4 linked regions of the Struthio camelus genome follow. The protein of the gene in region 4 purifies or fractionates together with the protein of the main gene of each other region. This does not show direct contact. Links are inferred from orthologs where the notes say so. Each region holds a gene or a part of one and is shown on either strand. Other genes may lie near its edges. The genes, in order: PHF12, CUL4A, ARID4B and RBBP7.

Region 1 (7,642 bases), on a different chromosome or scaffold from region 4:
TCAAGCTCTACGCCTCCACGGCCGACGTCACCATCCAGTTCCAGTCCGACCCCGGCACCGGCGTCTTCGGCTACCAGCAGGGCTTCGTCATCCACTTCTACGGTGAGGCCGGCGGCGGGTGCACGGCGCCCCTCGCCCGCCCGGCGCCCGGCTCACCCCGCTCTGCCCGCAGAGGTGCCCCGCAACGACACGTGCCCCGAGCTGCCCGAGATCCCCAACGGCTGGAAGACGACCTCGCACCCGGAGCTCATCCACGGCACCGTGGTGACCTACCATTGCTACCCGGGCTTCGAGCTGGCCGGCACCGACGTCCTCATGTGCCACTGGGACCTGACGTGGAGCGGCGACCTGCCGGCGTGCGAGCGCGGTGAGCGGCCCCCCACCCCGGGGTGCCCCGGCGTCGTCGCTGCGCCGCGCGGCGGGTGTCCCCAGCCGGGGGGCGGGGGTCCGGCGTCACCGGCTGCACCTCCCGCCCGCAGTGACGTCCTGCCGGGACCCCGGCGACGTGGAGCACAGCCGCAGGGTGGTCTCCAGCCCCAAGTTCTCGGTGGGGGCCACGCTGCAGTTCGTCTGCGACAAGGGCTACGTGCTGACGGGCGCCGGGCTCCTCACCTGCCACGACCGCGCCGCCGGGGGCCCCAAGTGGAGCGACCGCCTGCCCAAGTGCATCCGTGAGTGTGCTCGCCCCTTGGGCCAGGCAGGGCGGCCGGCAGCGCGCCCTGAGGCCGCCTCTCCTTCCTGCCCGCAGCGGAGGCCTACGAGCCCTGCCACAACCCCGGGGCGCCCGCCCACGGCCGGCAGAGCCCCGAGAGGCGGCTGTACCCGGCGGGGGCCGCCCTGCGCTTCTCCTGCGCCGCCGGCCACGTGCTGCTGGGCGAGGGCAGCCTGCGCTGCCTGCCCGGGCACCCGTCGCGCTGGAGCGGCTCGCCCCCCATCTGCAAAGCGGGTGAGCGGTCCCTACCCCGCCGGCCCGCGCCGCCCCGCCGGCCCCCCGCCGCCCCGCTCCTCTCACCCGCCCCTCTCTCTCCCCCAGCCTCCTACGATGAGTTCTACAGCAATCGCAACCTGGACGGTAAGGCGGCCGCAGCGGCGGGTGGTGGAGGGCGCGGGACCCGCCGGGGTGCAGCGGGACCCGCCGGGGTGCAGCAGGCCCTGCTGGGGTGCAATGGGACCCACTGAGGTGCAGAGGACCCCACCAGAGTGCAGCTGGACCTATTGGGGTGCAGCAGGACCTGCCAGGGTGCAGCAGGCCCCACTGGGGTGCAGCTGGCCCTGCTGGGGTGCAATGGGACCCACTGGGGTGCAGGGGACCCTGCCAGGGTGCAGCTGGACCTATTGGGGTGCAGCCAGCCCCACCAGGGTGCAGCAGGACCTGCAGGGGTGCAGCCGGCCCCGCAACGGTGCAGCGGGCCCCACTGGGGTGCAGTAGGACCCACAATGGTGCAGCCAGCCCCGCTGGGGTGCAGCGGGCCCCGCTGGGGTGCAGCCAGCCCAGCTGGGGTGCAGCGGGCCCCGCTGGGGTGCAGCAGGACCTGCCAGGGTGCAGCAGGCCCCGCTGGGGTGCAGCAGGACCTGCCAGGGTGCAGTGGGCCCCGCTGGGGTGCAGCAGGACCTGCCGGGGTGCAGCCAGCCCCACTGGGGTGCAGCAGGACTTGCTGGGGTGCAGCGGGCCCCGCTGGGGTGCAGCAGGACCTGCCAGGGTGCAGCGGGCCCCGCTGGGGTGCAGCAGGACCTGCAGGGGTGCAGCCAGCCCAGCTGGGGTGCAGCAGGACCTGCCAGGGTGCAGTGGGCCCCGCTGGGGTGCAGCAGGACCCGCAACGGTGCAGCGGGCCCCACTGGGGTGCAGTAGGACCCACAACGGTGCAGCCAGCCCCGCTGGGGTGCAGCGGGCCCCGCTGGGGTGCAGCCGGCCCAGCTGGGGTGCAGCAGGACCTGCAGGGGTGCAGTGGGCCCTGCTGGGGTGCAGCAGGACCTGCCAGGGTGCAGCCGGCCCCGCAGGGGTGCAGCCGGCCCCGCTGAGCCCCCTCTCTCGCGGCCAGCCGTGGCCAAGGCCATGCCGGCGGGGAAGCCGCTGGAAGGCACCAACATCGCCGTCGCCGTCTTCCTGCCCGTGCTGGTGGTGGCCCTGCTCGGCGGAGGCGTTTACCTCTACTTCTCCAAGTGAGCGCCGGGGCGGCACTGGGGGCGGGGGGGACGCGCCAGGGACCCCGCGCCCGCCGGCCGCCCCAGCCACCTCTGTCGCCGCAGGCTCCGGGGCAAGCGGGCGCTGCAGCGGCCCCTCGCCGCCTCGCACCCCTACGACCACATCACGGTGGAGGCGGCGTTTGACAACCCCACCTACGAGACGGGAGTAAGCCCCTGCCCCCAGCGCCCCGCGCAGCGGCAGCGGGGGCCCGGCCGCGCGTGCCCGGGGGGGCTCGGGCAGCGGGGGTGCCCCCTGCCCGGCCCCCCCCAGCGCTGGCCCGTGTCCAACCCCTTGCAGTCTGCTTTCTTTGCAGGAGACGAGAGAATATGAGGTGTCCATCTAGGCGGAGGAGAGCCGGGCACGGCCGCTGCCGGCCCTCCTCGGCCCCCGCTGCGCCCGCGGAGACCCCCGCGCCAAGGGACCGGCCGGAGCCCGCCGGGGGACCCCGCTGTCACCCCCGGCACGGCCGCTGCCCTCCGGGGTGACACCTCGTTCACCACCGGATCGGGGCCCTGCATCGCTCCGGGCCGGCGGGTCCCATCCTGCCCCTCAGCACCCGCATGGGAATAACATGCCGCAGCGGAGGAGCCGGGGTGGGGGGGGCGCGGACGGGACCCCTGGGTGCACCGGGCCGGCCGGGGGCAGCGCAGCCGCCAGGAGCCCGGAGGTAAGGACACGGCTGCCCGGGGCCGGGGGCTCCTCGCCGCGGCGTGGCGGGGTGCCCCCCACCCCCCGTGCCCCCCGACGCAGCACTCGGGCCCCGGCGCCGGGCGAGGGGTGGGCAGGGGGAGCCGGGCACGGCCACCTCTGCACCCCCCTCTGCCCCCCGCCGCCACGTCGCGGCTGAGGCTTTGGACAGGGCCGGTGTACGACAGGGTCCCATCCTCAGCTGTGCATCCCCTTTTGGAGAGCAATTCCACCCCCCCCCGGTCCCCTCCTCCCCCCCCCCATCTTTTGGTCGTTTCATTAATAAAAAATGGTGTTTTAGAAGAAAACGTGGCAGTAGCGTGTTTCCCTGGGGCCGAGGGCTGGCCGGAGCGCTCCCCCCACCCCGCCAGCACCCAGGCTCAGCCGTGCACCTCGCGCCGACCCCCCCCCCACACCCGTGCCCCCAAGTACCCCCTCAGCCAGCATCCCCAGACTCCCCCCACCCTGCACCCCTCCTTGACCCCCACCCTGCAGCCCACTAACCCCCTGCACCCCATGCTGACCCCCACCCTGCACCCCTCCTTGACCCCCACCCTGCAGCCCACTAACCCCCTGCACCCCATGCTGACCCCCACCCTGCACCCCTCCTTGACCCCGATCCTGCACCCCACTAACCCCATGCTGACCCCGACCCTGCACCCCTACCCTGCACCTGACCCTCACCTTACTCCCTCCCCCTTGCCCCGCTGCACCCCCAAACCCGGCTCCCTGTCCCCTACACCGACCCCACCCCACCCTAAACCCCGCACCCTCCACTCTACCCCCTTCCCCCGCCCTAGCTCGGTGCGTGACAGCTTTAAGAGGCGGGGCTTCCGCGGAAATGACGTCACGGGCAGGGCCCCGCCCCTCCCGCCGGCACGCCGCGCGCCGCGCGCCCCCTGCCGGCCCGCTGCGGACCCCGCCCCGTTACGTCACCCATGGCCTCGCTCCCCCCCACGGCCTCGCTGCCCCCCACCGCCGCCGCCGCCGCCGCCGCCGCCGCGCCCGGAACGTGACGACAGCCACGCGCCTGCGCGCACCACCCTCCCTCCTCACGGCCGCGCCGCCCCGCCCCGCCTCCGCCGCGCGCCTGCGCCCCCTCCCGCGCGCCTGCGCCGCGCCGGCGCCCCGCGCGCCTGCGCAGGAGGGACGCGGGGCGCGAAAGGAGGAGGGGCGGGGAAAGGAAGGGCACGGGAGGAGGCGCGGCCCCCCCGCGCCTGCGCAGTGGCGGCGCCTGCGTCGTCGTCGTCGTCGTCGTCCTCCTCCTCCTCCTCCTCTTCCTCCTCCTCCTCCCCCTCCCCCGCCGCGCCAGGCCGAGAGCGGGAGGCGGCGGCGGCGGCAGCGGGGCGCGGGCCGCGCCTGCGCGAGGCGGGCGGGCGCGGGGAGGGGGGAGGAGGAGGAGGAGGAGAGCGGCGGGGCGCGGCGCGGCGTGCGCCTGCGCGGAGTGCGCGGCCCTGAGCGTCGGCGGCGGCGCCGCCTCTGTGTGTGTGCGTGTGTGTGTGTGTGTGCGGTGCGTGTGCGCGCGCGCGCGAGTGTGTGCGTGCGTGTGTGGCGTGTGCGCGAGGCGGCGGCGGGAGCGGGGCCGCGCCGGGCCGTCCTCCCCCCCCCCCACCCCTTCCCCCTCCTTCTCCCCCGGCCTTGCGCGGCATGGCAGCGGGCGCGGGGCCCCCCGCAGCCGCCCCCGGGCCCGGCAGGAGGAGGAGGACGGGCAAGCCGCAGCGGCCCGTGGGCTAGGCCCCGCGCCGCCGCCGCGCCCGCGCCGCCCCCCCCACCCCGGGGAGCCGCCGCCGCCGCTGAGGGGCCGCCCGCCCCCGTCTCGCTCCCCTCTGCCCGGTGCGGGGCGGGGTGGGGGGGCTCTCGGGGCCGCTCCCGGGCTGGATGAATGTGGGAGAAGATGGAGACCAAGACGATCGTCTACGACCTGGACACCTCCGGGGGGCTCATGGAGGTGAGGCCCGGCCGCGGGGCCGGCGGGCGGGAGGGGGGCGGGCAGGCCCGGCTAGGGACGACGTGGGGTTGCAAAATGGCGAGGGACCCCCCCCCCCAACCCCCTGCCGTCCCCCCAGAGGGGCCCGGAGCCCCGTGGCCATACAAGGAAGCGCGGAGGGAAGGAGGCGGCTCGCCCAATCGCCGGCAGAGGCCTTGCTGGACGCGGGGCCGGCGGCGGGCGGGCCCGGCCGGGGCCTTGTCCCCCACCGCCACACGCACCTTCCCCGGCGGGCCCAAGGCCCTCTCGTCCCGGCGGCCGGCTCGGAGAAGGGCACCCGGGGTCAGGGTCCGGCCCAGCCCCTCAGAGCCCTCTCTGTCTCTGTGTGTGTGCATGTGCAGCAAATCCAAGCCCTCCTGGCTCCCCCCAAGAGCGAAGATGGGGAAAAGAAGAGCAGGAGGCCCGAGAAGGAGCCCAGGCGAAGTGGCAGGGCCACTAACCATGATAGCTGCGATAGCTGCAAGGAAGGAGGGGATCTGCTGTGCTGCGATCACTGCCCCGCTGCTTTCCACCTCCAGTGCTGGTAAGGCTCGGCACTTATCTCCCTCCGGATCTGGGTGTCCCAGCCCAGGCAGCGCGTTCCCTCTAGCCAGGGCTGCACCACCACCGCCGGCAGCTCCTGCTTCCCGTTAGATCCATGCCTTGCACGGGGAGGGGGAAAACGGGGCCCGGCGCACCAGGCAGGAACAAAAAGGAGGTGCAAACCCCAATCGGCTCAGTCCCCGTGAGAAGTGATTAATCTGGAACAGCTGAGGTGAAAAGTCACTGCGCTGCCTTCTCTAGGGGCTGGGGACTGCGACCCCAGGCATTGCTGGGGGCTGTGATCCTCCTTTCTTTTTGTGCTGAGCAGTGGCTGAGAGGCCTAGAGGAGAAGTGAGGCTGCTAGCTGCGCGGCCTGGCTGCTTTGATACTGCCCGCACCAGGCCTTCCACCCCGCAAGCAGTTAACTTCCCCTCCTCACCCCTCTCAAAGGGTGCATTGCTTGGGGGGCCTCTGGAGGGTCGCGGCTAGGGGGAAGCTGCGGTCGCGTCTCTGCGCCAGGCCTGACGTTCCCAGCACTTCCGTGCTGCTGCAGCTGCTGGGAATAATGGAGGTTGCTTGTCTCTGTGTCTCCCTGCCTCACTGTTTACAATATGGCGACCTTCCTTTAAATTATATTTTTATTCTCAGCGCCATTTTGGCTGCAAATACGACTTCCAAACCCTCGCAGTGCTCCCAGAGGATCTGAAATGTGAAAATACCTTCCCTGTGTAAATCCAGGGCTCCAGACTTTAGAATCGGCCTGGTTTATTCCTTTCCCTCCTTTTTTCCTTCCTCCTGACGCTTCAGACCTGCTTGTCTCATCCACGGGAGTGACTCCTGTGAATTCAGAGTAGTTGGGTCTTCTTGCTTGGAGCTGTGTGGCTTTGTTGATAAAGGCAGATCTTTTTGCATGCAAATCTCGGGGCTGTGTTGGAGGTGCCAGTAGAGGCGGTTGCAAAGCAGTCGGTAGAGGCTGCAGTGGGGAGGATGGTAGAGGCTGCAGCGGGGAGGACTCTCGGTGCCTTGCCTCCGAGCTTCTCAAGCTAATAGCACAAAGCAACCTGGCAAAAGCACCTGAACTTTCCACCCTGAAGTTTTCTCTTTTCTGCATCGGGAGCCCAGATGCATCAAAGGCCGCCTTACCCGTATCTCTTGTTCAACAGTTGACACAGGCTGGCGGTTTGTGTTAAATTAGCACAGCCAGAGCGGATAATGGAGTGGAGGAGGGAGTGGGGCAAGTCAAACAGCTGGAGCTCGGGAGTGCAGAGTATTCTTCCTTAGGGGAGATTTTTTAACCGCATTCCTCTCTCTCTTCCATGCTTTGGAGCTTTGTTTGCTACCCTGTTACAGCTGTCTCCTCTCTTTATTTTTTTTATTTTCTTTTGCTTGGTGTTTATACTCTGCTTATATGCTAATTGCAGGTCTCTGAACACTTATTAAACTGATTACTGATACCAGGAAAACTGAATGTGCAGTCACAGTTCTGCAGGGAGTGTCCCGTTAGCAGTGTATAGCTAGACTTACCCAACAGTGCTCTACTGTGCAGCCATGACATCATCCCTCTTACCCTGAGGAAGTGCTACTGGTGGTAGTATATGTTCTCTAACGTTTGCTGAAAGATCACTAATATTTTTTGTCTGACTTTTTCGATAGGCCTTAATTAAGGTTTTGTTCTTGTACAGGACATAGTTGCTTAAAACTTGGTGTTTGCTTTCAGATGCTGTCAAAGTCAAATGGAAACACATTCTGAGCCTTCTCTAATTGAGGCTAGAGTGATTGCTAAAACTTCATGTTTAGATTTTGAGATGGAAGCGCTGTGACTAATGGTATAGCGTTTGCTAGTTGACTCTGTATCCTCGTTAATCCTAGCTGCAAATGAGTCCACTTTGCGCGTGCTTAAATCTGGCTAAATTTCATGACTTAATTTGACAAGTTTCTTGTGTTAGTAAGTAGGAAATGGTCGTGAAAATCAGACGTTTGTAAAGCTTTGGCTATGCTCTGGTCGAGTCAGTTGTATTAAAATATATGTATATATCTTTGGCTAATTAGTCACCTTTCAGAATAGGAAGAGGGGGCACAGTTCTGCTTATTCTTTCTCACTTTGTTACCTTTCTTGGAATATCTCTTGGATGAGCATTTGGATGGTCAGCAGTAACCCAAGCTCCAGTGTGTGAAGCAGCATAGCCTGGAATGCGCAGCAAGCTTGCTGCATGCTGTTGGATAGGCTGCTTCTCCAGAAGACCTCAAGCTTGGCCCATATT
Region 2 (7,762 bases), about 18 Mb from region 4:
GCATATTTGGAAGCAGAATACATTCTATCAGAACTAAAAAGGTAAGGATAACTTACTACAAAAGAAAGCATAAAATTCATCTGAAAACAATGTATGGGATTTATGGAAAAGGATATTGGACAATAACTGTTTGGCATTTGTAGGCTTCTATAAAGTCATGGTTTCCAACAGCGTAAGTACACCTGTGAAACAGAAGGAACATTAGTACGTCAGAAAGTGTCCCATACCTGCGGACAAACGCTCTCTTTTTTTGCCTTTTAACAGGTATAGAGCCTTACACTCTATGTAAAAGAAAAACAGAAATATTTTTTAGAAATATTCCTAACACAGTGACACAAGCATTTTAATAGAGCACCGAGTTTGACAGTTGGGGAAAACTGATCTGAGAGATGAACAGGGCCTTATTTCTATAATCTGCACAGTATCAACTGTAATAAGCTAATGCTTACTGACACTGTCACTGAGACTGGCCTAGAAAAAAAAAAAATTCTAAGACTTTGGAAAGTGAGCTAAAAGATAGTGTTAATAAGACAGTGTTAATAAGATAGTGTTAATACTGAATTTTTTCAAATAAAAGCCTTGCAGAATTATTTGACTCTTACAGCTGTCCTAAGAGTAGGTTTAGGATGAATATTTCCTTCCCCTCTCCCCCTCCCCCCCAACATTTCTTTCTCTTCCTTATTTCACTCTGAATTCCTGTGTAACCAGTAAAAAAGAACAAATGAAATAGCAAGCACCAAACCCAAAGCTGTGTCAAGGGCTATATACAGATGACTGTCAGGTGCATAAAGCAAAGTCTATGCACATAAGAAAGAGAAGTTTTTATTTCCTGCAATTCTAGCACTGTTTATAAGAGCAGTAAATGCCAAATGTTCAGATGTAAGCCCTTTAAAATAACCAAGTAAACTCAAGGCTATGCTTCCCCATCCCTACAGCATGCCTCACAAATGACTTGTCCATTCGTGGTCCGCCATTACCTTAAGTGGGCTGCAAACATTTCATCATATGGTGGTTCCAAAACTTGTTGACACTTTTCTTCTGGAGATGGAAGCTAAGTATAAAATAAATATAAAATAAATTAATGAAACATTAAAAGAACAGACATTGCACCAGAAATAGAACATCATAAGGGTATTTTATCATGGCAGTCTTACGCATGCATGCCTTTGCTATCTACCAGAACCTTACATTATGCTAAGACTCACGCTCAGTGCAATGTAACTGCTAGCGTCCACTCTGTCCACAGGACCAGATTAGAGCTAGTCTTAGATAAAAGCCTCTGAAACACTTAGTGCAAGCACTGGATCTTCAGGACCAGGTGATTTGATCTTCATATCCACTCCCACTGTGCCACTTCACTTGCTCATGCAGACGTGGCCACAGGGAGCCTTCAAAACGCCTATCCAGAAAACAATTCAAAACGGAGGACAAAAAGCCATCCAGGAAAAGATGCAGATAGATAGTATACTTGTAAAAGAAAGGGGAGAACAAACCTACAAGGGGAACCTGCTCTGAGGTGTAAAGCAGATTTCTGAGGATTTTACCCCGTGGAAAGAAATCCCAATGGAGAGAGAGGAAAACTGAACACAAAATAAGGCCAAAAACAGATTTTCTCAGGATAACAGAGTCTTACTTGAAGCCTAGGGTTGGCAACATGTGGATGCTTAAATGATACCAATTCCGCACAAAATTGTCCATCTCTGCTGTCGATAGCTTCTTGTACCTACCCAGGAAAACAAACATATTACAGAACACAATCTAGCCACAGCCAGACAACATATTTACATACACCTAAGGAAGCTACCTTGTTATCACTGTTCATGCGTATCAGCACCTTCCCAAATGTAAGTTTTAAAAAGTTTAAAACTGAAGGAATCAATATCGGTACAGTATTGTTAATACTTTTAATTGTTTTAATTACTTTTAATTGTTTTCAAAAAGCTATCAGGAGAGAAGGTGAAGTAAACAGGTTTTTTTTTTTCTGTAGGATACAACCAAATCAGAGAAGCCCAAAAGAAGTTACATAGGTTTCGCATCTTAAGATAGCGGCTGTGAAATAGATTCGAAGTTTTTAAAAATTCCAGTTGGACTTATGAGCACCAAATATATATGTGAACCATTAAAAAAAAAAATCTTTGAGCATTACTGTTTGTGATGCTGCAGATGTAATTTGGTCCTGTCACCAATCAGGACTTGCAAATAGATTTCATATGAACTTATAGTATTTAATAATAAAAAGCCAGTTGCAGAAGATAATATTAATTCTCCTTTACTTGAAAGCAAACAGTCTCTGGAAGAGTGTTAGCAGTTGATTTTATGTTCTCTCCTCAGTTTTGCAGCTTTCCTTGCTGTTTTAGTCTATGAGTTTTTGCCTATGAGTGTTCTGATTTAGTACAGGCTTTTCATATAGTAAAGATATTTTTCCTACCAAGACATTAAAATATGACAAATTAAGCATGGGAATTGGGAAGGGGATTTTAACAACTAATATCTAAAAGTACTTCCACAGCAGATATGGTATGGAGGATGGAGAGGAGAGATCATTGAGACTGTTAACAAGAGAAGATGCTGACTTTTCAGAGCAAATCACTGTTGTGGGAGATCTCAACTGCTTCATTTCTGAGGCTGAACAACAAAAATTACTCACTTTTTCTCTCCTTCACTCAATTAACTTGACTGACCCTAACTCAAGAAAGGAATATGGTAACAGTGATGCAAACGTGATCATTCAAAAAGAAGCAACAAGAATTGTAGAGCTTGACATTGAGGATTCACTCCAGCTGACGATCCTTATGATCCTGTTCCTGCCTCTGCAGCCTCCTGCCACAAACACTTTGTCTCTGCGTTTAAACTGTGTATATTTATTAAATCCCCGCACACATGCGATTCCACCACATTAATTCTTATGGACAAACTGCTTCACCATCCATCATATCAGTAGTCCTCACACTATTCAGGAATACATCCTTGGCAGACAGTTAATGTACTTATCACAACATTAAGAAGTATATTTATTTACCACATTACACATTCTAGGTTGACTTCTTAAACAAGAAAATGCATTTCCAGCCAAAAAAAAAAAAAAACCTCCACATGCCCTTATATTCTGATAGTACCCACAAATAAAAAGCTTGCTTACTTGCTGCAAATACTGATTTATGGTGATATGCGCCATTAAAATAGAAGTAGACGACGCAGGAGTCCCCGATTAAACGCAGTTGTGTCCCATTCTGAAAACCAACAGCAGATTTAGAGAACAACGAAGTGACAAAATCCCAACTAGGTCTCTTCTTTCCCCCTTCGGCAACTCGGTACGACTTTACCCAGTCTTTCAGGACCCGGCACCTGCTGCCGGCCTCTAGGGAAAGGACGCAGCCTCAGGGAAAGCAAAGCAGAGCACAGGCGCGTCCCGCCTGCTGCGCGGAGCTTGTGCGGAGGGGGAAATCGCGCCACCGAAGCGCCGGGAGGGGAGGAAAGCCCCGACGGCCGCACGGACACGCCCGGCTGGACTGCTCTGCTGCCCGCATCCCCCAGCACGTCCCCGCCGGCACCTCCAGCCCTCGCCCTTGCCCCCGGCGGCACCTCCGCCATGCCCGGCCCGGCCCTCCCTCACCGCAGGCCCAGCCTCAAGCCAGGGCGCGGCGCAGCGCGCAACTTCCGGCAACCGCCACGGCGCTTCCGGCACACCGACCGCCTCGCGCGCAGCCCACGTGACACCGCTCCGGCCCTCCGAATGGCGGGGAGGAAGGGATCACGTAACGCCACCCCGGCTCCCGCTGCTCTCAGCGGGACGGCACTTGCCTCTCCTCTTCCCCACCCCCCGAGGGGCGGGAGGCGTGGCTTTCCCCCCGGCGGCCAATGGGGAGGCGAGGTGGGCGGTGCCGAGGCCGCGCGTCAGCGGGTAAACCTCGTGGGGGGCGGAGCCTGCGGGGGGTGCTCGTGGCCATAGGAGCGCGTAGGGGCTGGCGTACTGGTTGGTGTCGGTAACAGGAGCGGTGAAGGGCGGGCGGCCCCGGCTCCTGTTTGCCCTTTTTCTCACAGCGCTTGGTAGAAGGGGTCCATATCCTCCCTCTGCTAGGCACGCAGTCGCGTTTAGCTTCCCGGGTTCGTGTTACCTTTTAGCCTGGGTCCTAGCGATAGCAGAGAGGTGTGTTGTTGGGGAAACGGTCTCCTTCCCCCCCCCCCCCTGCCGCCCGTGGCCTTAGTTTTTCAACGTTTGTTGTCCCTTTCTGGTCGTTAACGGCTGTGCCCTCCAGAGCAACGCTGCCTGCAAGGATGGGCTGTATAAGCGTGGGTCAAAAAAAAAAAAAAAAAAAAAAGCTAAACTGAGCATTAGCTGTTGAAACTGCCTTGCTTTCAGAGCTCCGAAGGCGAGATAACTCGAGGCATGAAAAACAGCCGGTTCCTTAGAAAGCACGGTGCAGCCCTGTGCCAAACGCCACGAAATAAAAGCCAGAGGCAGCGCAGGGAACTGAGGCCCTTCGGAAGGATTACCTGGGCTAACCGACCCCCCGCTACCCCCCGCAGGCCTTCCGCTCCCGGCTCCCCTGCGCGGGCAGAGGGGGGCTGCGCGGCCATGGCGGCGCCCCCCCCCCGCCCGCCGCCGCCGCCGCCCGGCGTGCTCGGGAGCCATCTTGTGAGCGGGGATCGTGCCGCCGCCCCCTGCGAGGGCCGGCCCGGCCCGGCGGCACTTGGCAGCCGCCCGCGGGCAGGGCCGGGAAGCCGGAGCGGTGGGGGAGGAGGAGGAGGAGGAGGAGGAGAGCGGAGGCGGGGACCTAGCCGGCCCCAGCCCAGCCCAGCTCAGCGCCTTGCCCCGGCCGGACACGGCGCCCGGGGCGGAGATGGCGGACGAGCCCCAGAAGAAGCCGCACTTGTCGGCCTTGGTGGGCCACACTAACGGGCTCACCAAGCCCGCCTCGCTCGCCGCCGCCGCCCGCGCCGCAGGAGGAGGAGGAGGAGGTGGCGGCGGCGGCGGCAGCGCGACCGCCTCCTCCAAGAAACTCGTGATCAAGAACTTCAGAGGTGGGTGCGGGGCCCGCGGCGCGGCGCTGCCCCGGGGCGGGCGGGGCCGCGGCAGGTGCCAGGGCCGCTGCCCCCGCCGCCCGGCCCTTTCCCGACCTTTGTTTACTGCGGGCCCGGCCGCCTCCCCGCCCCTTCCCCGCGGCGCCCCGCCGAGGGGCGACATGTCGCCGATAGCGGCGGCGGTGGGGCGGGTGGCGCCGCCTCGGAGCGGACGAGCGTTTCGGGGGCCCGTCAACACCTCGGACGCTTCGGGTGTGTTTTCACAACTTTGGCAGCGACTGTGCCAGCGGCCCTCGGCGGGCAGGGTGGGCGCTTGGGTGCGCGGAGCCCGTGCCCGGGGGGGGGGTGGGTGGGCTGTCCGCCCGCTGCGCCGGCCGCGGGTGCGTGGCCTTGCCCTGCCCTGCCCTGCGCGTGGGGGCGGCCACCTTGTTATTGTTGTTTCACGCTTAAGCGGTCACACAGAAAAAAATTCCTTTGGGGGAAATGAGTAAAGCGCGTTGAGAAAGATTGCTACGGATAGCCGTTCCTTGGCTGGTTAGTTTTCAACTACCTGTATAATTTTTTTTTCTTCTCCCCCCCCCCCCCCCCCCCCCACAGAAAGACCCAAATTACCAGATAATTATACTCAGGACACATGGCAAAAACTTCACGAAGCAGTGGGAGCAATACAGAGCAGCATTTCTATTAAGTACAACCTTGAAGAGCTCTACCAGGTAAGATGCGTAGTGTTTATGGTTATTGTAACAGGCAGAGCGTTAACTGCTTTGGGACTTGGAGAGACCTACAGGTTTAACGTGGTGTGTCTTGATTAGTTAGAAGTGGATTGGATGTCCCGGACTGTTTTCTTGGTATTGTTTCTAGCCCGTTTTCACTGTTGTAGAAAAGTGGCTCTTAGGTCCTGGGAAAACTACCAGGGTCTGAGCTCGTGAAAAAGCAAATTATTTTGGGATACCTGGGAGGCTCCGTCTGGGCAGGGCTGACGTTTTAAGCGTCAGGATACTGAAAATTGGATGTTACCATCGCTTCGTTATGCAGGTGTATAATTTGTGATGATTTCTCTTCCACGTGTGCTTTAGTCTCTAGTGAATACTAAATGTTAAAATATTTGTTAAATGTTAAAATATTGGCTATAATAATAATTAGGCTTCGTCATCAATACATTTTGGGGAATTAAAATTGAGTAGGCAACAAACTATCCCTTCATCTCTGGTTCACATTACTGTTGTATTTTCAAAAGAACTGATGTCTTAAATTTTTGTGTTAAAATGGTGAAAAATTATTGCTGGAACATCTAAACCACGGGATAGGGGATAGGAAGGGTAAAAGAAAGAAATGGGCATGAGCCATTTCTTCCTCACCGTTTTCTCCATTTATGCATGATGTAGTTTTATATTATTGTAAATGTATGTGCTTTGAGATATGCCACTTTAGTACTTTTTTTTTTTACAATAATCGTGTTATCAAAAAACTGCTAATACAATAGGTTGTGCTATGTAGTTGAAGTTAGTTATGAGTTTGTTGTTGGTGCAGATGTTTGATCTGCAGATGTGGATCTCATTGTCAGATCAAGACTTAAGACATCAGTATTGCCATGAAAAATCTTTTAAATGCTCAGCAGAGGTAGGTTTGGAGTTTGGAAAGCATAGACTGTGAGGGAAGAGAAATCCAGTCCACACTGAGGCCATACTCAAAAAGTCAGCATAAATTGGACTCTACGATTAGTTAAGGTATTTAATATATGGGTGTAAAATGGGTGATTAAATAAATCCATATTGTCTTCATATAATTTGGTGCTTTTAAAAGGACCACTTGACCATGATTTCCGCATCTATTATTCCTTACGAGTTTGCAGAGTTTGAATTACATAACATATTTTATGGTTTTAAACTCAGCACGTGAAAAATCCTGCTTTTTCATGCCTGGCAAAAACATGCAGATGCTTTGAATTTTGCCTAACTTGTTTTCAGAAGCTCAGAAATGAGATTATAGTGATATGGGTATGAAATCACTAAGGTATAGACTTGAGTTCTGGCAGAAGAGGAAGAGAGAGATTTCAGATAAACTGCGAAGGGAAAACTCTATTTCTTGCTTTTTCGGCTTGCATGCTCCTTTGCAAAAACTGCACGTTGTAAGGCCAGTATGTCAGGTAGAGGTGCAAACCAGAAAGGTTCTGGTACAGCAGGTAGTGGATGTGAGTGTGTCTTTGCCTATGTACGTACTCTCCTGCCAGAAGAATAAAAGACCAAGTACAGCATCTATTGGAAACCTGATCTGTACTTACAGTTCATTTTTAACAGCTTGATGGTGAGCACAGAGTCCTCAGGGGAATATTTTTGTGTGTGTATCAGTTCTTTTTACTACCAGGGCTTTTTTGTGTGTGCCTTTATCTGACGTTATGAGAGGAAGTGAGAGGCCTACAAGGCTCACGCCAGCCTGCTTTTGAACTTCTTGATTTATCTATCTAATTTGGCATGGTGGCTGAAGAAAGACTGAAGAACAATGATGAGGCTCTCTGGGAAGTCTGAAGGATACTCCTTTCCAAGCATTAGAAGCAGCATGGGATAAAGCATGGAGGTGCTTAGCAGAGATATAGTCAGAGAGCAATCGGAGGGTGATGGGTAATTTTATTTTACTAAAATAGAAATGGTGCCTGGGACTGGTGGTAGTTTGCAAAGATGTTGATAAAGGTAGCTTGTGTTTGATCAGATAGAGAAAGTGAGGCAGTAGGAAGAAATGCCAA
Region 3 (7,655 bases), on a different chromosome or scaffold from region 4:
GAAATGTACGTAAATTTAGCTGTCATTTAAATAAGTGGTTTTGCTTGTGGGGGAAAATAGCTCCATATACTGCCTCCTATTTCCTTTGCTTCCATCTCCTGCATCCCTGCTAGGCAATGGGCCACAGCTGAGAAGCTCCGTATCATACTACATTGACAGTCCGTTGTTTGTAAATTCATAAATAGTTTACTTCTAATGAGAAAGATGTGTGCAGCATTTTAGATCTTAACACTTACTAGAGAGAAAGCAGAGGAAGGGCACTTAAAGCAGGACTGTTTTTCCTAAGATATTGTCATTAAGTCACCAAAGTAAGCAAAACAGGCTGAACCTTTAACAGCTATACAAAGGCCCAGTTTGCTACTCTTAGTAATATCATATCAATCTAGAAATTAAAAAGTCTATATCATCTACCATTTCCAGCAGCGAATACAGTACAGGGTACATATTTTACATAATACACAAACTGATATGCAGTAGCACAACTCTGATAGTGCAAGATTCCACATACATACTGCTCTTTTTATTGATGAATACCAATGACCTGATGCATCATAGCTTCATAATCATCATTTTTGGTAAGGTTTATAATATTTTGAAACAAGATTCACTGCAGCCCAGCATAGCCAGGATCTGGATTACACAACCTGGGGGTCAGGGTAATATAAAAAGCAGCTCAAGCGAGAAATCAGCAGCAAAATGACAAAAGGACTAATAATCTCAGTTCTTAAAAACTACTTTTAGGTGCATGGTTCTTTGCCATACATAGAAGAAATCATTTTATGCCACTGATTTTTTTTTTTCTATAAAACTTTGTCCAATGTATCAAAAAGCAATGGTCCAGAAAGGCCTAAGAGAAGAAAAGTGCACTCACTTTGTGACAATTTTGTATGTGACTAGTACACGGCACTGAGAAGAAAATTAAAACCTGTTTGAAAATCTTTTTGCACCTTACAGCAATCATTTCGCTGCAGAGAATCTCTTACATGCTCCCTTCCTGATCAGATCAGGATCACTCATTCAACAAAACTCCTCTTAATGAAGAGAAGGCAAGTAAATCTACCATTTACCCTCTATTCAGAGAAACACGGCTGTGTGGCCAGCATTTCCCCTGCAACATTACTTTCTCAAGCTGGGCGACTGTCCCCTGTTCCTCCATGAAGCAAGCTCAGCCCAGGCAGCCATGTCCTTATTCTCCTACAAACAATGTTTCTGAAGGAGAACAGCCCTCTCTCAGCGAACTTGCACTTTCCCCAGCAAAACGTGGTGGAGCAAAACCCGCCCCACGAGCAGCCAAGGAGCGGAGGCACTAACACAGCATTGGGGCGAAGCAGCCCGCAGTCTGGATCCGCACCAGCGCCGAGCCTCGCACCGGGGTCGGGACAGACGGACTGACAGCCAGGACGGCATTTCTTCACGTAACCTTGCCTCCCCTCCCCTCCCAGACATACAAGTGAGTGTTTTACCTTCATGATGAGCTCAGGCTGCGGTAAAAGCCTCGATCGGGGCTGAGCGGCCGAGGCTGGACCTGGAATTTAAAACAAAGCACTGAGGCACCGCACCAGCCGCTCGCACCGGGCGGGGGAGGGGAGGGGAGGCCAGGATCGGGGCGGGAGGGGGGGGGGGAGGCCGGGCTCCTGCCGAAACTCCCCCTCGCCTCCCCCAGAGCCCCCCGCTTAGCCCGCTCCCCTCCCTCCCCGGCCACCGCTTCCCCTCCAGCTCCCGCACGCCGCGGCTTCCCCTACACTCGCTGCCATTGACGCCATTTCTGTCAGAGGAGGAGAAACTTGCCACAACAACAACCCACCCCCAGCCTCCCCGGCTGCCGCGGGGGGAGGCGGCCCCGGCTGCCTTCCCGGGGCGCTGCGCCCCCTCCGCGGGCACCGGCAGGAGGCCGGAGGGGCCCGAGCCCCGGGCAACCCCCCCCCCGCCTCCTTCCCCCCCCAACCCCCCGCTTTGCCGCGGGGCGCCGGAGAGGGGGAAGGAGGAGGGCGGCAGGGGAGGAGGGAGGCTCTTCCTCCATTGTACGAGGAAGAGGAGTGTTTGCCTGCGCCGTGGGGCAGGGAGGGTGTCGTCGGGGGCAGCCCCCCACCTTTCCCCTTCCCCCGCCACTCTCACGCTTTTGCAGGGGCTGCGGCTCCGGATCGCGGCGGCTTCCCCCCCCCCCCCCCCAAAAAAAAAATAAAGGAAAGCGCTGACTCCGCGGCAGGAGTTTCAGCAGCAACAGCCGCAACTCCCCAGCTCGGCGCAGCGGGTCGGGGGGGGGGGGAGGGACGCGGCGGAGGGGAAGAAAAGGAAGAAGAAGAAGAAAAGAAGGGAGTGGGAACGGGGAGGGAGGGAGGGGGGCGGGGAGAAAGGGGCCCGACCTGCTCAGCGGGGACACGGAGCCTCTGCGTGGAGGAGGGGGCTCCGGCCCCTGTCGGCAGGCGAAGGGGGCTGGAGGAGCCGCCGGTCCCTCCCGCACGCAGGCGGCACCCGATCCCCCTCCCCCCCGCCGGGTGTTTGGGGGGAGAGAGAGAGAGAAGAGAAGGAGGATCGGCGAGTCCCGCCGCAGTCTCGCTCCGAGGAGAAAAACAACCGCCCCCCTCCCCCCCGCACGCACGCCCGGCCGCCGCGGCCCGGCCCCGCGCCCCCCCCCCCCGCGCCCGCCGCCGCCGCCGCCCGGCGCCTCTTTCTCCGGCTCGTCGCTGTTACCTTTGTTCCGCGGCGCCCGCCCGCCCGCTGCTCCCCCTGACCCGAGGCGGGGGGGAGGGACGGGAACGGGGCGAAGCCTCCTCTCAGCTCCGGACCCCCCTCGCCCGGCCTCGGCCCCCGGTCAACGCTCCGGCAACGGCTCTGGTAGCGTCTGCTCCGTGCTGCGTGTGGCGGGGTCGATCCGTCCGGCTCGGACTCGGCGGTGGCGGCGGCGGCGGCGACGGCGGTGACTGCTCGGCTCGGAGCCTCTCGGTTCCCCCTCCCCCTCCCGCACCGACTGACTGACGGACGGACAGAAGGGCGGGAGGGAGACGGACACGCCCCTCTCCCCGCCTCCTCCATTGGGCTCCAGCCTGCAAAGCCCCTCCCTTCCCTCTGCCCCATTGGCTGCCGCCTCGGAAATACTGACGTCATTCTTCTCCAGTTCTATGGAAACTGAGAGTCGGCACCGAGAAGACTTATGGGTGCTGCTGCTTTCCCTCGCCGCTCACCAGGGCTCGAGAAGCGGTTTGGCACACGAGCCTGACTACATATCCCAGGACGCACCGCGGGAAGGGGCCGTGAGGGGACGGGGCCGAAGCCGAATGCTAATTAAACCGGGGGCGGAGCTGGCGCCTGCGCAGTGAGGCTCTGGTGGCGCATTTTCCCTCAAGAGGGGGGAAGGTGGCGCCTGGCGAAGCGGAAGGGGGCGGTGCTTCGAGCGTCGTTGGTGCTGCTGCTGCCGCCGCCGGCGCCACTCCTGGCGCGGGCCGCTCGGGGGAGCGGAGCGGAGCGTGGTGCGGCTCCGACTGGCGGCGAAGAGGAGGTGAGCGGCGGTTGCTGGGGCTGAGGCCGCGTGCGAGCGGCCGCCCGCGGCTGTCTCGCGCCGCCTTCGCCGACCGTTACTGGTGGGAGGCGGCTTCGCTGCCCGTGACCGGGTGTGTGGGGCGGCGGGGGAGGGGGGAGGAGAGCAGGCTGTGCTCGTCAGAGGAGCCGGCGCTTCCCACTCCCCTTTGGAGCGGGGCTCGGGGCGGTGAGGGCGAGCCCGGCTGGGAGGGGAGCGGCTCTCGCGGCCGCCCCGCCCAGGAGGGGCTGGCCGGTTGCCTGGAAGGGGCCGGGAAGGGGCTGTGAGCAGGGAGGGGGGCCGGAGCCGGCGGCTGCGGCCGCCGTGCGGGTTGGGCGGCGCCGGTGGCGTCGCGGGCTGCCTGAGCGGCCGAGGCGGGCGGCGCTTCCCTGCCCGGCGACTGAGCTCGGGCTGCCGGCCGCGCCGATCAGAAAATGGGGATGGACGGCGGGCAGGGGGAGCGAGGAGTCCTCAGCGCGCTCTCGACCGTGTCTTATCTAAAATGGCGCTGGTGGTGCTGAGCTGCCCACTCCTGGGTTGTGGGAGCGCTTCGGAGAGGTTCTGCAGCCTCCTTTGCGTTTACAGCGCTCGCATCAAACTCTGAAAAATGAACCGTGCCGCCTTTGTTGCGATTATGATGGGGGAGGGAGGGTTCACGCATCTGTTAGCAGGGTAACAACTTCATGTTCTTTGCGAAATGCGACTTTTAATCTGAGAAGCGATTCTGCAGTAGGCATGACTCTGGTCTCTGCTGGTTTGCTTTCTGTGTTTGGATCAGCTGATAACTTGCACTCTTTCTGTCTGTATGCTGCCACCACTTAAGTGTGGGGACTTCAGGAGGCTGGTTCTCTTCCTCTTGCTGCTGTGTCGTTGTTACTCAGTTGTACCGGGAGATATTGCTGAAATTGTGTTTCCATTTCAACACGATGTTCTAGCTGTTCTGGTGTTGCAGGGCTAAAGTGTTAAATTGCAGCCATGAAAAGACAGTAATTTAGCTGCTTTTTTTGAGGATGCCTTACAGCCATTGTTCAACCTGTGGGATGTTGCCTACTCTAAGTGCAATATGGTTTTGTTCAGTATCAGTCCAGGAAGTTCTAACAAGAACTCTTCTAGTTAGAATGAGAATGTGAGCTAGGATGACAAGCATCCTGTCCAAATCCCAGTTGGATTAGGAGCCTTGATAGCCTCTTCAATTCAGTGTGCATTCACAACAGTATCTGTTTATTCCTTCTGAAACAGACTTTCTCGCTCCTACTTCCCCCTGTGTTGGGGCTTTTTTCCTTGGTTACAATGAAACCAGTGTCCCAGTGAACCTCATTCTGTGATGAGGCTGATTTAAGAACTTTCTGGGTGGTTGGGTGTTTTTTTTCAGTGCAGTTCACTGCTCCTTTGGTGGCTCTGTTTTATTTTCTGTGCAATTGTGTTGTGAATGGAGCCCTTGAGATGAGGCAGCTTTTTTTAAAGAACCGTTTTCTGTTAGGTGTATATGTAGCCTGGAACACTTTGGTCATCTTGCTTATTTCACCAATTGGAGCTGAGGACAAGGGCAGAGAATATCCTGCGGAGTGGAAGGGATGGAGTGAGAAGCTGTTTATGAAGTTCAAAAGTGAAGATTTACTGTAAGTGCAACATAGGTCTAATGTTACTTGCCTCCTTTGGAAAGCTCCTATTTATGGATCACTGCTTCAGTAATTATCTCTAGTAGTTCCAACTTCTGGAAGCCCATACTGCTGTTCTTTTCTAGCATCTTGTGTGTTTTCAGTGAGATCATTAAAGATAAAGTATGTTGCAGTTCAAAAGACAGTTCTGTGGGTTCTGTCTCGTCACGGCGTGGATTGTGCCTATAGCAGCTGTTCTACAGTATGCTTATATGGAGCTGCTAGAAAAAATTCAAAGCTTTGTGTTAATTGACATGCAGGAAGTGTGTACAGTTTGAAAGAAAACTGAACTAAGCAAAATTGCCTTAACTGCCTTAATTTTCTGAATAAACCTACATGCAAGATTGCCCTTCCACCAATAAAGGCTTTATATTCCCTTTCATTTATTGTTGAAGTTCTTGCAGCTCTACTTTTTTGGGAGATGTTGACTGAGATCTTGTCTCAAATTTTCTTAAATGAGAGGACTTTTTGTAGCAGTGTAACTTTTATAGTAAGTTGATCAGCTGCCTAAGTGAAAAATCCTTAATATCAATAACTTCCTGTGGTGTGTTAAATGTAGGAATTTTCTGCAAAGAGCAGTGATGTTACTGCTCTCCGTCTTCTCTCATGCTTCATTATATTCTTGCTGATCAGCCTTTAAGCGTCTTCATTTACATATTTCATCAGGTGTCCTCTTTCTTATATAACTTTGGGGAGTTCTAGTCACTATTCTTTTTTGCTGTGTGTGTTAGACAAGTAGTTTTCTTATGAATGATTAGACTGTTGCTTTTTCCCTTAGCACAGGTTATCTACCATTTCATGTAGAGGTAGCATAGCAGCCTAGAAAAGCTTAGCTATGGTAATTTAAGCTAAGTCACCAACCATTATTTGTCTCTTAAAGTGTTTTTCCTTATGTCTGTCTTGAAAAGGAAGAAATCTAGGCCCTTGTAGGGAAAAGTGTCTGGCTAACTTTCTGTGGATAAGCAGTGTCTCAGAAACTAATATAGGAGACTTCTGTCAGTTTAGCACTAGAAGGCTGGGGATTTAGTGGTGTAATACCAGCCTATTTCAAGCTAGTTAAGGATCTTGAATGCTGTTTGCCTGTCCTACAGACAAGAAAGAAACCTTCTCATCCTCTGAGGGAAGAAGAAGAAGAATTTCAAGGTTTACTTTCAAGCAGTTTGTGTTGGGAAAGACTTCAGTCTTAGCATGCATTTAAGCATAAAAGCATTTACTGTGCATGCTCATTGTAGACTGCTTTTCTAGCTATGAGAAGCCTTGACAGAGAAGAAATTCCAACCTTAGCATCTCTCTCTTTAGCTCTGTGGGTAGCTAAACACTTCCACTTCTAAGCCAGCTGTGTGGCTTTTTGGTGATAATAGTCATAGGAGATGTGTTAACTTGGTTAGTGCCTCCTTCTGTCTTTCGCTACAAGTTTCTTTCTGGTCAAAATATCTGACGATGGACTGGGATAATCTTTTTGGTTGTCCTTCCTCACTGAAGAAGTTTGAGGCTTGCCCTTTAGGTATGAGGGTGCAGTTTCACAGCTGACTTCCTCAGTGGCAGTGCTGGCTCAAAAGCAGTTCCTGTCCCTTCAGTTATACCAATAAGATGACACAAAAAGAGTTGTGTTAAGCCTGACTTAGATTATGGTGTGGCCTGACAGTCAGTTGTGCTGGTACACCATGAGATGGAAGAGCTGTACCACTTATTGTGGCATTGCTGATGAAAACCTATGCAAAGCTTTCCCAAACGGCATGGTCTTATGAGTGTTTCTTGGGCAACTGTGCTTGCTTCAACAGCCTCTTGCCTCTGAAGTTGCAGTGTGGTTTCATGTAGTGAACCAAATGAAGGAACTGATCTAGACGTAAACTTGGAAAATAATTGTTCGTGTGAATTATTTCCCCAGTTTGGGCTGCTACAAATATTTATGGGGCAGGAGGGTGGGAATGGGAGTAGACAGGGACTGAATAAGCTGCCACTGAAAGGGAAAAGATGCTGAAATGCTGAGGAATGCCAGTTGGTCCAGGTGTCTTAAGAGGAAGCAGTGATCTTAATGCTAATCCTCTGAATTGTTGAGGGGAAACTACATTGCTGGATTATTTTGAGCAGGTGTGGAAGAGTTTAGCCCACTGGTGTTAACTGCTCCCTTTAATATAGCTATATTAAAAATGTCTCTGTCCATACTTAAAGATGTCACTTTAAAGCAGTTCTTGTGTTGGTAACTTATAATATCATTCAGTTGCTGCAGAGGGAAAAGTACATGCTTTCCAAGATGCTTGCTAAATAACTGAGAAATGATGCTGAAATAGCATGAGAAATTTTATGCTACTGCTGCAGTTCCTGTCTTAAAATGACATTAGAAGAATTGTTTTGAGCTGCTGCATCTGCAGTGCAGCAAGGAACGCTAGAGGTGAAAGGAGAGGAAAATCTATTACAGAAAACCGCCTGAAAAGGGTGGGGGGAAAAAAGCAAATATAGGTGCTAAGCTATGTGAGCTGGAA
Region 4 (7,071 bases):
TATGAATGATGCAGAATTAGCGTAAAGTCGTAAGTATGTCAGCTTTACTACACAAGATCAAGTTAGAATACCATTGGACAGGACATTTGTTAATACTACTGCTAGAACACCATCTAAAAACGCATGCAGAGCCCACCTCCTTTTTCACTGTCATACTGAGAAGCATCAAATTGATCATCATTGGGAATCTGGACTCTTGCAACAACCAGGTGGTTCTGTTCATCAGAGGTGTGTGTTCCCAAAACCAGCCAGTGTAGAGCATAATCCTTTCCTTCTGGCCTGTTTAGAGTAATAAAAACAGAATAAAATTAAAGAGCTCATTTCCAAAAGTTTATTGGTTAGTATCAGTAACCCTGAAGATCCAGACTTCTGCAGGAAGATTTAAAAAAGTAAAACAAAACAAACCCACAGAAAACAAAAATATTCAAGTACGAGATCCCTTGCTTTACCACAACAGACTTGTGAATTAATAAGTGAACTAAATTACCTGACATAAGCAAGCCAAGGATACATCCAGCAAGCCAAGAGTGACAATATAAGTCAACAAACACTGCCGCTATTGCTCGAATAGGATAATTAAAGTTTGCCTAGTAATTACTCCTATTTTTAATTCTCCTTGCAATCTCATAGTATCAATTTGGAAGACAAGCAATACTATGTTCTATAAAAAACAAAACCCGAGAAAAGCAGCAATCTATTTCAGTTACTTTCCTTTCAATATGCTTTTACCAGTTGGTATTTTGTTACAGTTTTCAGAAGTTGATTTTTAAACAGTGCACAAACCCTAGCTAACTATAATTAAATTCCTTTTGATGGTTAAATGCAATAGTTAGTAATAAGTGAAAGGTCAGAGAGACGGTGTCATATATCTGAGAAAGGAAAATTGGAACACGCAAATAAAAACAAGCAACTTCTGCGTTCCTGAAAGCAATAAATTAATTCTGCTATCTGAACCCAAGCAAAGAGGAAATAGGAATCACGTGGGCAATCAAAAAACATCATCAGTATTATTACACCTATTCCAGGGCATCACCATACAATTGGGGCGAGGGGGGGAAATAAAATAAAAAACACACAATGCACACACACTTACTTGTATTAGGAATAGGTGTCCCATCATGTCAGGTGCCATACAAAGAGACAGTCCTTGCCTTATATGGCTTACATATTCTGACACTGGGTAATTGGAAATATCAGGTTTTTAACTGAATATTAAGTCAATCTGCAAAATATGAGGCAAGCAGAAGTGTTCCTCATAAGGGCTCCATACCCTCAGAAAAATTCCCCATTTCATTTTCTCCATGCCATGAATAGTTAGCTCACATCTCTCCACATCTTCCCCAAACGTCCTGGCATTCAAAATTAAGTGATCACCTAACCACCACATATAACGCCACTTATGCAAGTGGAATTTTAAAGAGGAAAAAGATCATCCTCTTTTTACTGCATGAACTTTAAGGGTAAGATTTTAAAGCCAAGCTGTATCTGTGATACAGCAGCATGAGGGACCCACACCTGTCCATTAACTTTGTGGAGTCCTGAGTGATTACTCTGAGAATTTAAGTTTTCTAGTAGCTGGGACATCAAGAGAATCCATCTCTCTCTTAAAAATTCTTTAAGAAATTAACCAGCTACCCAACAAACTTTTAGGGGGAGGGAGAAGAATGGGAAAGTTAAGTTATCTGAGGTCAACGATGCCAGGGACAGAAGCAGGATATTAAGGGCCACAGTCTCTACCGAGCAACATCCCCTTAAATTTGGCCAGACCCAAAAAAAAAAAAAAAAAGTGTATCTTCTACAGAACAGTAATTGGTAATGCACATGAGGAAAAATATTATTCATGTAAAAGTTTAGTAAGTTTGTTCTTTCTCTGAATAGAAGCTACTGCAGAACAGCTAGGTCTCTTACATATCAATAAAATAAAGTAAGGAAGACTTCTTCCCTGCCGTCTCAAGGCAGATCTTGCTGTGTCAGGCTAGAGCTCTCTACAGTATCAATATGTACCTTTTTTTCCCCTTCAAAGCTTCTGTCTATCCAAAGGGTTTTGAGAGCTGTAAGTAAAATGAACTGTTACAAGCTTACTGCGAGACGAGCCTAATCCACATTATTCTAGTCTCTTGCGGTTTCACCTTCCAATTACCTAGCAGACACCGCGAAGAGCGACCGAAAGAGCGGCAGGACAAGCAAGTTCTCTCTCTCCTTCCCTCACCTGGTCACGTCAGGCAACCACTGGACGGTGAGGCTGGGCCACTCCAGGGCGTGCGTCATCACCAGGTCGTACAAGAAGGGCGTGTTCTTCTTCCAGATCTTGTACTCCTCGCTGATGACGCGCTCCTCCACCGTGTCCTCCAGCGCTGGGCGAGGGGCGGCGGGGGGGGAGAGGGGGAAAAGCCAACGGCTCAGCGCGCGCCGCGCCAGGCGGGGGCGGCGCCGCCACGCGCCGGGGGCTGCGCGGGTGGGGGTGGGGGGAGGTGCCACCGAGGTGGGGTGGGAGAGGGGCGGTGCCCGCCACGCGCCGCGGGGCTGGGCGGGGTGAAGGTGCGGAGAGGGGCCCCGAAACCCTCTTGAGGGGCAACCGGAGGCAGAGCGACAGTTACCCCCCCCCCCGCCAACACCGCCCAGCCAGAAGGCCCCCGCGAGAGAGGCCGCGGGTGCCTCCGCTCGCGCCCTCCCAGCTCACGCACGGCCGCCCCACGCAGCCCGGGCAGCAGCAGGAGGAGGAGGAGGAGGAGGAGGAGGCGGGGTGGTGGGGGGGGGTGCTCTCCTACCTTCCTTGCTCGCCATTTTGGGCGTGTGTGTGCGCGCGCAGGCGAGGTGAGGGGCAGGAGGTACCGGCTAGCGGCGGGGAAGGGGGGGAGGGGGCACAGCTCGCGCCGCAGCTGAGGACGCGGCGGCGCTGCCGCTGCCACGGCCGCGGCCGCTCCCGCGCGTCAGGCGCCCCGCCGATGCCCAACCCGCGCCTGGCGGCGGCGGCGGCGGCACCGCGCATGCGCTGCCGCCCCGCCCTCTCCGCGGCGCCCGGAACGCCGCCACCCACCGCGGCGGCCAATGGGGAGGGCGAAAGGGCTGCGCGCGCGCGCTCGCTCGCTCGCTCAACGGCTGGCGCGAGACGGGGCTGCGAGTCCGGCCGGGGCGCTCCGAGGAGGCGCCCCCTCGCTCGCCCTCCCGCCTGCGCGCGCTGAGCACACGCGTGGGGCGGGGCGGGGGTGGGCGCCCGGCGCCTAACGGTCGGAAGCGCGCGCCGGCGCTCTGCGACCCCTTGAATCCACTGCGAGGGCGGGCGGGGCGGGAGAGGGCAGGGGGCTCTTGGCGGACGGACGGCTCCCAGGGGCCCTGGGGCTTTTCGCGGCCGGCTGACACGCGCCTCCTTGTCCAGGAAAGCGCTTGGACTCGGCCCAGAGCCCGGCTCCGCGCTGGCAGCGGGCAGTCGCTACGCCCAGGCGTGCCCGTGTCACGGGCGGGTCCCCCGGCGTTACTGAGTGGGTCGCGGAGGGCGAGGAGGAGCCAGGGTTTCACGCAAGTGCGCGGCTTTTTATTCAGAAGAAGGTTAAGATTGGCGTGGACGTGTATATGCCGCGAGGTGGGGCCTTAAGTAAAATAAACCGCCGACGGTACTGCTGTGCGAGTTGGCAAACGGCTTTTGTTGCTTTTTAACCGCATTTAAAGGCGTTACAGAGCAACCTGCCAGTTCGGTTCAAAAGTTGCCTCAGAACATCTAAAACAAGCTGAGTTCATCCTGCGGAGACATATGAAAGGAGCATGCTTTAAACGCAGGGATTTGGTGTTCATGATCTGTTCACCAAGAGTTTGGAATTGCTAAAAAAATACAATTTAGAAAAAGGACATCTTGGCTGCCGAAAAGCCCCTATACCGAGCTGTTCAGAGTCATGCATAATGCAGAGTAAGCACGGTAGACCTCCCGTTTAATAATAGGTTTCGCCACTCGGACAATACCCCGAGGGGACGCCTGGCGCACAGTTTTGAGAGCCACGCGGTACCCCTGCAGTAATTGCAGGCACAATTACTGCAAAGAGCACAAGCACCTTCCCTTTTGATAACAGAAGAACGAGCGTGGGTATTGCCAGAAATCAAAATGGGAAGCACTCCCCTCAGTAGCGCTGTAGAGGATCAAAGTACCCAAGTATTATTCACAAACGTGATTTACACTGATCTTCCGAGGAGAGGGGTAAACTAAAAATTCGAAATTCTGGAAGTATTAAAATCCGTACAGCACTCAAGAGTAGATGAGGAATGAAAAGACTATTATGGCTCTCTTCTTTATACTACCTTATTTGTTACTGCAACGCTAAGGCAGAGTTACCAAGTGCGTAATCGCTGATTGCACATGGGAAGTAGGAATTGGGAAACAGAAGTGATAATGGTACTTAACTCATTTGTCAGTTTTCATGAATGCAACTCTGCACAGATCCGGAAAGGAGGAACAGTGCAGTGAACGAGAAGAAAAATGAAAACAAATGGACTCTTTCTAAAGAAATACCCAAAATACAAGATATTCCCTTTTACCAATCAGAAACGGTAATCTAGTCATAAAAGGGGAAAAAACAGCCGACATATTTAACATAAGTTAAAAAACAATCTCAGCCGGAATGAAAACCAGACATTAGTCTTATGTAAGCCAACAGAGGTAGCTGAAATCGGGAAGCCACGGGATTAGAGGGCATAAAGAAGAAGAAGGGAAAGACGCGGGGTGGGGGGGGAGATGTGCAAGACTGCGGTGTGCAGTTCGGCGGGCCGAGCAGGAGGTGGCACTACTGTCACACCGGGCAGCCGCATGCGGGCTGCAGAGCCAGGCGAGGAAGGAGGTGGTCTCAACTCCCTGCACAAGAAGCAGGATCTGACCGCGGAAGTTTCTTTGCTCGGTGTCGGTTACACCCTATTCTGGTCCATGCTCCAGGATGTATGTCTATTTGGGGCGATGGTAGTAAAGCGAAAATTTCTTGGAGATCCAGCAACTATCAGGCGGCCTCTATACATTTGAAACAAACTTAGGTGCAACAGCAAAGAATGGTGGTTGACGTCATTTAGTATGTCTTAACTAATAAGCCCTAAATTGCACTACAAACTCAGATACTAAGCCCACTTCACAGCTCAGAAAATATACGTAAAAATGGCTATAGAGACCACTGCTAAATAGTTACTATTTTTCAACAATGGCGCCTGAAGATATGTTTTTTTTATTTTGCTGCAAGAAATACCTGTTTGAAAGTTTGCTGAGTTGCAATAAAGGCATGCCAATAAACTAAGCCGCATTCTTGACTTCCCACTCACATAATATCAGTCAGGATTACAGAAGTTTTAAATCCTACAGCTGTCTGTTAGGGTCAGAAGTATTGTCTGTGGTGAGTGACACAGCTTCTTTTAAGCAGTCACATACAAATCAAATGTATGGCTTTGCCAGGACATGCCCAACCTTTCTAGTCTCTTCTCTTGTTTCAGCGAGTACTAACCAAAAGGCCATTTCATTTAACTGCTTTCTATTAAGCTTGAATAAACAGCACTTGGCATATAAAATAGCCTTAACCAGAGCAGATCTTGAGGGCAGTTAATAGCACCTTCCAACAGAATAATGGAAATAGAGGCAGTTAGGAATCAGGCTAAATTCTCCCAAATGCCCCTAAAAAATCAGAGGAACGTTCTGCTTCCACATTGCATGAGTTCTTTTATCATGTGGTGACTTAAAGTCTTTAGATCAGTGCTTTGATATTAAACTCAGGAAGCAGAATCCTATATTGGTAAGGCCTTGAGCCCCAGAAGGGGCTGAAATTAGCTCTGTAGCGGAGATCATTGTGCTCAGCTAGCGATATTGTGGCAAGAGAGAAGGCTTACTTGCACAGCCAAGTAAGAGCCAGGATTTTTATATTCACTCTGTGAGGAACTCCTCATGGACTGAGCCCTCTATAGTCTGGACTCCAGTGTTTCAAAGAAGGAATCCAGTTATGGAAAATGTTTATGTCTAGGAGAGGCTGGGGAGCGCAGAGGCTAGTAACAGCAGCCAAAGGTTGTAGCATGGGAATTGAAGGAGAAGGCTGGAGTAGACAGCCAGCTCCTTGAACAGGAAGCGTTTGTAATGAACCGTTCCTTTATGGGCCAAAGTGCTGAAAAACAGAAATGTTCTGGTGAAGAAGCCAAATAACCATATACTAATCTTCTTGAACCTGCACAAATTGGAATTAAAGCTATGTATGGCTTACTTATTGAAAATGAGAATTCTGTTGAATTAATTGGAAGCTGCAGAATAATCTGCTACATAGGAATGCACTAGTGAGTATGTTAACACAGACATAGGACCTTGATCGTACAAGGTGAGTTACCAACTTGCTTTTGGCAACACTTATTAGTTGTTTTGATATCTGCTGCCAAGTATGTGTCTAAACCTACAAAGTGCTGAGGCCTTCCTGAAATGCTGGGAGGGTGAAGATTGAGCTTTTCAGAGCCTGTGTGGTGGTGCAGAGTGCTGATCTGTTAAAACTCAGATACTGAATAAAGGAAATCTCTGTCAGGCTTCTTGGCTCTAAGTGAGTTCTGTTAGCTCTTGATGAAATTTAATTACATGGCCCCTTGAAGGATCAAGCCGATCTGAGCATTGGGTGGGATATTGTGTGTGCATTTGGCTGTGAACAGCAGTGGTTTTCCACCACGGCTTACCTGGAATATAATTGGCAAAGTGTGATTTATTTTTGGAGAAAGGTAGACAAAATTGTCTTTCAGTGATGTAATGTAGGGCTTGATTAAACTCTAAATTAAGAGAGGAAAGTTCCCCCTTCCCCCTCCCCCCCCCACCAGTTTTGGAAGACTCAGTTGTTTAGACTCTGCAAGTCAAGTTGCATTTTAGTGGACTGTGAGGAGCAGTACCAGTTTTGATGAAAAAAATCTGTTACACCTATTTGTCAAAATAGTCCCTAAGTGACCTGTGCAATTATCTTCTCCTTTGTTAGCAACTATACTTGCACACAGCCAAATTTTCTTTTAATTTATATGCAAACACACCAACAATCTTGCTATTAAGTGCTTTTCGCCTATCAAGATTGCTATGGAAAAGACAGTTTATAA

The links.
Region 1: the proteins of RBBP7 (region 4) and PHF12 purify together in Homo sapiens (affinity purification with mass spectrometry; 5 studies listed by BioGRID and IntAct, counting the BioPlex papers as one, with this or other methods). This does not show direct contact. The link is inferred for Struthio camelus from reciprocal best matches to the Homo sapiens genes RBBP7 and PHF12.
Region 2: the proteins of RBBP7 (region 4) and CUL4A purify together in Homo sapiens (affinity purification with western blotting; 4 studies listed by BioGRID). This does not show direct contact. The link is inferred for Struthio camelus from reciprocal best matches to the Homo sapiens genes RBBP7 and CUL4A.
Region 3: the proteins of RBBP7 (region 4) and ARID4B purify together in Homo sapiens (affinity purification with mass spectrometry; 3 studies listed by BioGRID and IntAct, counting the BioPlex papers as one, with this or other methods). This does not show direct contact. The link is inferred for Struthio camelus from reciprocal best matches to the Homo sapiens genes RBBP7 and ARID4B.

What each region holds. Positions count from the first base shown.
Region 1 is NC_090957.1:16,782,479-16,790,120, reverse strand, and holds the start of PHF12 (PHD finger protein 12), read left to right. Parts: upstream 1-4,637; 5' UTR 4,638-4,754; coding exon 4,755-4,820; intron 4,821-5,200; coding exon 5,201-5,382; intron 5,383-7,642. Other genes in the region: SEZ6 (seizure protein 6 homolog), read left to right, coding at 1-102, 173-367, 480-671, 749-946, 1,034-1,072, 2,040-2,160, 2,248-2,350, 2,483-2,515.
Region 2 is NC_090942.1:156,807,772-156,815,533, reverse strand, and holds the start of CUL4A (cullin-4A), read left to right. Parts: upstream 1-4,756; 5' UTR 4,757-4,841; coding exon 4,842-5,022; intron 5,023-5,114; exon of another isoform or gene 5,115-5,183; coding exon of another isoform or gene 5,184-5,274; intron 5,275-5,619; coding exon 5,620-5,735; intron 5,736-7,762. Other genes in the region: PCID2 (PCI domain-containing protein 2), read right to left, coding at 117-182, 978-1,051, 1,634-1,723, 3,140-3,175. UniProt on the Homo sapiens protein: Core component of multiple cullin-RING-based E3 ubiquitin-protein ligase complexes which mediate the ubiquitination of target proteins. As a scaffold protein may contribute to catalysis through positioning of the substrate and the ubiquitin-conjugating enzyme.
Region 3 is NC_090944.1:89,169,026-89,176,680, reverse strand, and holds the start of ARID4B (AT-rich interactive domain-containing protein 4B), read right to left. Parts: upstream 3,005-7,655; 5' UTR 2,692-3,004; intron 2,592-2,691; exon of another isoform or gene 2,364-2,591; intron 1,526-2,363; 5' UTR 1,470-1,525; coding exon 1,464-1,469; intron 1,451-1,463; coding exon of another isoform or gene 1,450-1,450; exon of another isoform or gene 1,312-1,449; intron 1-1,311. Other genes in the region: GGPS1 (geranylgeranyl pyrophosphate synthase), read left to right, coding at 4,017-4,072. UniProt on the Homo sapiens protein: Acts as a transcriptional repressor. May function in the assembly and/or enzymatic activity of the Sin3A corepressor complex or in mediating interactions between the complex and other regulatory complexes.
Region 4 is NC_090942.1:138,747,012-138,754,082, reverse strand, and holds the start of RBBP7 (histone-binding protein RBBP7), read right to left. Parts: upstream 3,014-7,071; 5' UTR 2,785-3,013; coding exon 2,769-2,784; intron 2,355-2,768; coding exon 2,210-2,354; intron 280-2,209; coding exon 137-279; intron 1-136. UniProt on the Homo sapiens protein: Core histone-binding subunit that may target chromatin remodeling factors, histone acetyltransferases and histone deacetylases to their histone substrates in a manner that is regulated by nucleosomal DNA.